Linked DNA regions of Saccharomyces cerevisiae S288C. The protein of the gene in region 1 purifies or fractionates together with the protein of each later gene. This does not show direct contact. Each region holds a gene or a part of one and is shown in the gene's direction. Other genes may lie near its edges.

Region 1 (3,976 bases):
TCTAGGAGATGGCATTTTTTCCGAAATTTCGCCTTCTCGCACAACTTTCCAAACCCGACCAAGAGAAGGAAGAAATCATTTTTTTTGTTGCGAGTTGTCATAGAACGAGGTCGAGAAACAGAAGAGGAATTGAAAATGAATTGTAAAAGCGTTCGTTCTATGCCTCTAATAAGAGAGTACGTCTTGCTTGATGTGAACCCAAATGCCCACAAAACAGTACGATTTGCAGTTATGTAAATTTGTGGTTTGTCTCCTGGCAAAAAGAATGCATTCGTACTGCACATAATTGAAATAAGGATGTAGTTCAACTTCTATGAATGCTCGGCGATACGATATGTAGAGGGGACAAAAATATGTAGGTATCCTATGGTAAATAAATCGGTCTGTTTTAAAACCTGTTTTAGTGCAGCTTCTTTCCACGAAAGAAATAGTGTAAGTTAGAGGTACTTCTCTTTTACCTAAAGGAGGTGTAGTTATGATAAAAAGCGAAGCTAACTAAGACAGCTAAGCTCTTTATGTTGATAGTTAAAAGTTAACAGGTTGTATTAATGAAGAATGAATATGGATCTTTTTGTACTTATATAACAGAGGTATAAACCACATGCCGATTGTTTCATTATTATATATGGCTAATATAATGGTGATTCCGGCAGCTTCATACATTTAATGTGACGACTCATATTGCTCTTATATGTGACTTTCAGATCTCATTCAATTAATAGACTCTTAACTCAAATTCAGTACTTTCTGACATGCTCATTTACATTTCCTTTTGTAATAGTGCTTCCATACTTCATCGTATAGGATTTAAACATTTAGATCGTTACCATAGTAACTCATGTTACTATTAAATACCGCTCGTTTCAACACATTATATAATACTTTGGCATTGATACGCCACATAATATTCTAATTTCTCTTCAACACATAAGACAAACAGGGCAAATCAAGCAACAGGAAGGTATTTGCTTCTTAATGGCAAAACAGGTTCAGTTCCACTAAATAAAAAGGGGAAATTTACGTGTCATTTATTATGGGTTCAGAAATTATGTGTTAAGTAAAACACCTATAGCACTGGGGCAAATTCCGGCATCAATTTCAACGCCACCAAAATTGTGTGCGATAATAATTGTGACCCCATCATGGAAATGAGCCTTCAGCCAGAGACGGAAAAACTCTTGAAAGGAATACTGATGGATTTATAGGTTCGGAAAATAATAATAATAAAAAGCCGTGTTGGACATTATCCCTCCCGTTGCTCGCGGTAAATTCTTAAGGCCATATTTCAGGTAGGAACCATCGTCAACAATTGCTACAACGTTTTGTAGTCCCCAAGATTGAAATACAATAGCAGTTGAAAGAGAACTACCTAAGATAATTCAATGAGGCAATTACTGATTATTCCTGACAGAGTGTAAAATATTTGCAAGTAAGAGAATCGGAACAGAAAATTTAGATATTATGAGAGTCTTCCCTCGGCAGTAACGATATAAAGCCAATCTGTATTCCAGTGTCCTGCCATTCTGGTTCTTTAAAAACTCACTTCCAAGATAGTATAATCCGAGACTCTAAAGAAAAGGACACTTGCTTTTAATGGACAGAGGAACACCGCATACTCTAAAGTAGAGAGCACCGATATCAAGAGTTACATATATATATATATATATATTGTTTGCTTCCGACAGAGATAGCTATCTAGCAATTCCCTTCTTTTTCAATCGTTGGGCGGCTAAAAGTAGCAGGGTTTCGCGAGGACCTCTCGAAGGACAAACAATATTCATTACCCGCACAAATAAAATTTCAAAAAAACAAAAAAGCACGGGAGAGGCAAGGCAGGATGAATAAAATCACCGATCTCGAGAATATTAAAAGTCATCAAGACATCCTCTTTAAGTCAAATCCTGGATCCAGAAACTTAAAAAGTTGTCATATAAAAGTTTAAAATGGTCAAAAGAACAGTCGCCACCAATGGAGACGCGTCTGGCGCTCATAGAGCAAAGAAAATGTCTAAAACTCATGCTTCTCATATCATAAACGCTCAAGAAGACTACAAGCATATGTACTTAAGTGTCCAACCATTGGATATATTTTGCTGGGGTACTGGTTCTATGTGTGAGCTTGGGTTGGGTCCACTAGCCAAAAATAAGGAAGTTAAAAGACCAAGGTTAAACCCATTTTTACCTCGCGATGAGGCCAAGATCATTTCTTTTGCAGTCGGTGGTATGCACACCTTAGCCCTTGATGAAGAAAGCAATGTATGGTCCTGGGGTTGCAATGACGTGGGTGCGTTGGGCAGAGATACTTCCAACGCCAAGGAACAACTCAAGGACATGGACGCCGATGACTCAAGTGATGACGAAGATGGTGATTTGAACGAATTGGAATCTACGCCCGCTAAAATCCCAAGAGAGTCATTTCCTCCCTTAGCGGAGGGACACAAGGTCGTGCAATTGGCAGCTACAGACAATATGAGTTGCGCCCTGTTCAGCAATGGCGAGGTATACGCATGGGGTACTTTCCGTTGCAATGAAGGTATCCTAGGGTTTTACCAAGATAAAATTAAAATTCAAAAAACTCCATGGAAAGTGCCTACATTCTCTAAGTACAATATTGTCCAATTAGCTCCCGGTAAGGATCACATACTTTTCTTAGATGAAGAGGGTATGGTGTTCGCCTGGGGTAACGGTCAGCAAAACCAATTAGGAAGAAAAGTTATGGAAAGGTTCCGTTTAAAGACTTTGGATCCCAGACCATTTGGGTTAAGACATGTAAAATACATCGCATCTGGCGAAAACCATTGCTTTGCTTTAACAAAAGACAACAAGTTAGTAAGCTGGGGGTTGAATCAGTTTGGTCAATGTGGTGTTTCAGAGGATGTGGAAGACGGTGCGCTTGTTACAAAGCCAAAAAGACTAGCGCTACCTGATAACGTTGTTATCAGAAGCATTGCTGCTGGTGAACATCACTCATTGATCCTATCCCAAGATGGCGATTTGTATTCGTGTGGTAGACTAGACATGTTTGAAGTTGGTATCCCAAAAGACAATTTACCCGAATATACTTACAAAGATGTTCATGGAAAAGCACGTGCCGTGCCACTTCCAACTAAGTTGAATAATGTTCCGAAGTTCAAAAGCGTTGCGGCGGGGTCTCACCATTCAGTCGCGGTAGCTCAAAATGGCATTGCCTATTCTTGGGGTTTTGGTGAAACCTACGCCGTTGGATTAGGCCCTTTTGAGGACGACACTGAAGTTCCAACCAGAATCAAGAATACTGCTACACAGGATCATAACATCATTTTAGTCGGGTGTGGAGGCCAATTTTCCGTGTCTGGTGGTGTTAAGCTGTCTGATGAGGACGCAGAAAAGAGAGCGGATGAAATGGATGATTAAGGTAGTAGTACAAAGATAAATAAAAGAAAATCGACATAATGCACCTCAGTATAAATTGTAAAATATAACATAAATCAAAGAAAAACGAGAAAACGATATGATTATCCGATACCGACAAATTCTCATGTTTATTTTTTTTTTTTTTTTTTTTTTTTTTTAATTTTTCTTGGGCCTTTACATTGAGTACAGGGGCATAAGTGCGAGGAGTTACCAGACGACAACTAGCAGGCGGATGAAATCAACACTGAGTAAGTATTATGTAATCCATCCGCTCGTCCAGCCCTTCAGGTTCTTCCTCTTCTGCACGTTTCTCTAGTAATGAACTTTCTAAGGAATTTAATCGGATTTTTTGAGAAAAACGGAGAAAAATTAAAAATGTGCCAAGACACCAGCAACAGGCAAAGCAAAGGATAAACTTCCGGTGAACATGTTAGCACGGAAAAATTCATTGCTCTCTCTAACCGCGACAAATTACCTATCGTATTTTAACTTTCTTCAACAGCATTATGGAAAATGCATACCGGAGATTGCTCATACAGACCATAAAAACAACAGAAAGTCTTGTGAGGAAGATAAGCAAGCAC
Region 2 (3,436 bases), on another chromosome or scaffold:
ACATGGCCGATCGTACCTATATTTACATGCGGTTTGGAACGATCAAAAGCAGCTGCATAGGAAGTAGTAGTTTGAGAAAAGGTCCTAGAAATTACTGAAGAGAGCCTCAGAAGTTTCCCAGAAGCTTTAAAAGCTGTTCTTGTGAGTAATCTTGGTAATAAAGCTGACATTTTTGTCTGTTACCTTTGTCGAGCTAGAATAAAACTGAAAGCACAAAATAGTTTACAACAAAGAAGCTCAAATTTTTTCAGCTTAATCAGTTTCAAAGATAAAAATGACCAAAAATAGGAAAATCTGTAACCAGTTAGCAGCAAAAGGGAGGAAAGCCTGGTCGCGAAAGGATATATTGACTGAGGTCGGATGGGTGCTAAAACAAAATCCTTAAAAATATGAAAAATCAGCTCCAGCGCGGGTTAGTGGGAAACTGACCAATCAATGGGCAGCCTGTCAATTTCAATGCGGGTAACAGGGTTGTCAGTATAATAGACCCAACTTACTGCTTTATGTTTATGTATATGTATATATCAGAGACCTAATCGAGAATAGAGAAGTGCTCACATATTGCATAAATTGAAAAGTCCTCCAGAGGCGAAGTATATAAACTAAATGTTTTAAATGAGAAAAGCAGCTTCTTTTCCTTTCTTCCACGTAGTACTAAATCATGTCGGAAAGCGATAATTGCTTTTCTTCGTCGTCAATATTACTGGATGGCACAACTTCCGTGGCTTTGTTTTCATTTTCTCCAGGATATCGCGATGTTAGCACAAGCGTGATACAAAGTAGTAAGCAGGCGATGAAGAGACCAAATATGAACCAGGAAAAAGCCATACAGACCAGCTGCAACCTGAATTCTTCCGTCGTCAGATCGTGAGGAATATTTTTATCTTGGAATATGGACGCTGCGTCTTCTGGTCGCGAGTTACCCATTAATCCTAGCTTAATGCTGTTGCCGAAGGCTCGTATGGCGGACTTAAAGTAACCCTTCTCGAAAGGGTGATGCTCATCGCACAGTATCATGACTTTAGAATCTTCATTCGTGGACGAATTGTTTATCTTGGAAATAGCGAAGGTCGTAAAAGCCAAAGTCATCAATAAGATCTGTTACGTAGTATTTGAGAGAAGGAGTAAACTAACCTTGAATTGAGGTCTTGATTACAAGTTGCTTGCTTAGTGACACATTTGACAAGAAAAAACAGTAATACGCCAGAACATTTGCGGCCCCTTTTTATATCAAAAGTGCTAAACATGCTATTTAAGTATTTCTTTTGCTGTTGATACGCAATTTTCATTGCGCTGCTGCAGATGTGGTACCCTTTACCGCACAAAAATACTTCTATCTGGATATTATTCCGTGTACTTGGCGAAGAAGCCATCCCGTTTTGAACGCCATTGCCGCTAACCTCCGCGCTTTCGCTTGCAGCAATGGCTACATCCGCACGGTTCCGCTATTGCCACGACATTGTGGTGGTAATAGCCAAGGCAATGGTGTGTACAACTTACGATCCCTCTGCTTGCGGAAGCAGTCAAAAGGCAAGTGAGATCTACTCTATAAACTGACACTTTATCCAGGGAATTATCGAGAAAATTCTGTCTTGTCAATTAGAGAAGTAAGGGGCCACAGGGAAATAATACTTTCGAAGGGAGTTTCTTTCCTTAAGGAGGTGCAAAATGCAAAAGATATACAGTTTATAGGTTGATACACATAGAGCAAGTGGTCTCAAGTGGTCTTAATGAGTCACGGGAGGTCAAGATGCTCTTTTTTTCTTCATCGTTTCAGTTTTGTATCTTGAGCGGAGTGAACTTGCCCTTTAAGCGGGCCATACCCTTACATGGCGTTAGCACTTATTTTCAAGGTGAATATATACAATGTCAGTTACCCGTTTTTTTGTCTTCCGCTGTATAAGCTTGCTATCATTAAAAGCCGCATGTGGCATCCTGAATTCTGCCACCCCTTAAATACAAAAAATAGTGTAAATGGTACTTGATCTCTTCTGGAGGAATAAACAATAATTCTTGATGGAATTTGAGAGAAAGTAAGTGTTCGGCTAAGCACAATAAAGATATAAACCTGTGACTACCTATATAAGTTCGTAATGTCAGCACCTGCTCAAAACAATGCCGAGGTTCCCACTTTCAAGTTAGTTCTTGTTGGTGATGGAGGTACTGGTAAGACTACCTTTGTGAAGAGACATCTGACCGGTGAATTTGAAAAAAAATACATTGCAACTATCGGAGTAGAAGTTCATCCTCTATCTTTTTATACTAATTTCGGTGAAATTAAGTTCGATGTCTGGGATACCGCAGGCCAAGAAAAATTTGGCGGGTTAAGGGATGGTTATTACATCAATGCTCAATGTGCAATTATTATGTTCGATGTCACATCCAGAATCACTTACAAGAACGTCCCTAATTGGCATAGAGACTTAGTCCGTGTGTGTGAAAATATTCCCATAGTGCTATGTGGCAATAAAGTCGATGTCAAAGAGAGAAAGGTCAAGGCCAAGACTATCACTTTCCATAGAAAAAAGAACTTACAATATTATGACATTTCTGCAAAATCCAATTATAATTTTGAAAAGCCTTTCTTGTGGTTGGCTAGAAAACTTGCCGGTAACCCACAATTGGAGTTTGTTGCGTCTCCTGCATTGGCCCCACCTGAGGTGCAAGTTGACGAGCAACTAATGCACCAATACCAGCAAGAAATGGACCAAGCCACTGCTTTACCATTACCTGATGAAGACGATGCTGATTTATAAAAACATGAAAATTTATATACGAAAATATTCTGCTTCTTCTCACATCAATCTAAAAATTTTTTTTTGAAATTTCTTTTATTTTTAATATATAGTTCTGAAAGTCTATTTTTAAAGAATTAGTTCTTCTCTGTTTAATTGCCACATTGTAATTTTTTTTTGGTATGTTGAAGTTTAACCTGTACATTTCTTTTCTTTTAAATTGAATCAAAGACCAATAAACGGGATCCGATCACAATATGATCGTCCAATAACGCTCCCTCTTGCACTTCACTTACTACTTTATAAACCTAATTTTTATTTTTTACTAGATTCCTTTTTTCTTCCTGCTGGCGCTTTTTTTTTTTTGCCCGTCCAAAAGTTTTCAATGAAAAGTAATCCTCTTGAAAAGAGATACTTCTTTCGATTACAATAATGTTCTTATTCATATACAAATAGAATATCAGAAGATCGGAAACGAGTTAAGATAAAATATAAGAAGAGGAAAGTATTCCCAATTATGTTTTCATTTAATTGGTAGACGCGACAAAAAAAAGTATAATATATTGGGAGAGATAGTTCAGTCTCACCCACATTCTCTTTGCCCTGTGCCTCGCTCGGTTGTTAATTGCCAATATTACGATCTTGAGCTGGATGACAAAAAAATAAAAATACATTTTATTTTTTTGATCAACGGGCTAAAA

What was found.
Region 2: the proteins of SRM1 (region 1) and GSP2 purify together in Saccharomyces cerevisiae (affinity purification with mass spectrometry; 2 studies listed by BioGRID). This does not show direct contact.

What each region holds. Positions count from the first base shown.
Region 1 is NC_001139.9:319,839-323,814, forward strand, and holds SRM1 (Ran guanyl-nucleotide exchange factor), read left to right. Parts: upstream 1-1,943; coding exon 1,944-3,392; downstream 3,393-3,976. UniProt on the Saccharomyces cerevisiae protein: Guanine nucleotide exchange factor that promotes the exchange of GSP1/GSP2-bound GDP by GTP and controls RNA metabolism and transport. Involved in yeast pheromone response pathway and in mRNA metabolism.
Region 2 is NC_001147.6:680,764-684,199, reverse strand, and holds GSP2 (Ran GTPase GSP2), read left to right. Parts: upstream 1-2,093; coding exon 2,094-2,756; downstream 2,757-3,436. Other genes in the region: TUF1 (translation elongation factor Tu), read right to left, coding at 1-170; YOR186W (uncharacterized protein), read right to left, coding at 655-1,089. UniProt on the Saccharomyces cerevisiae protein: GTP-binding protein involved in nucleocytoplasmic transport. Required for the import of protein into the nucleus and also for RNA export. Not essential for cell viability.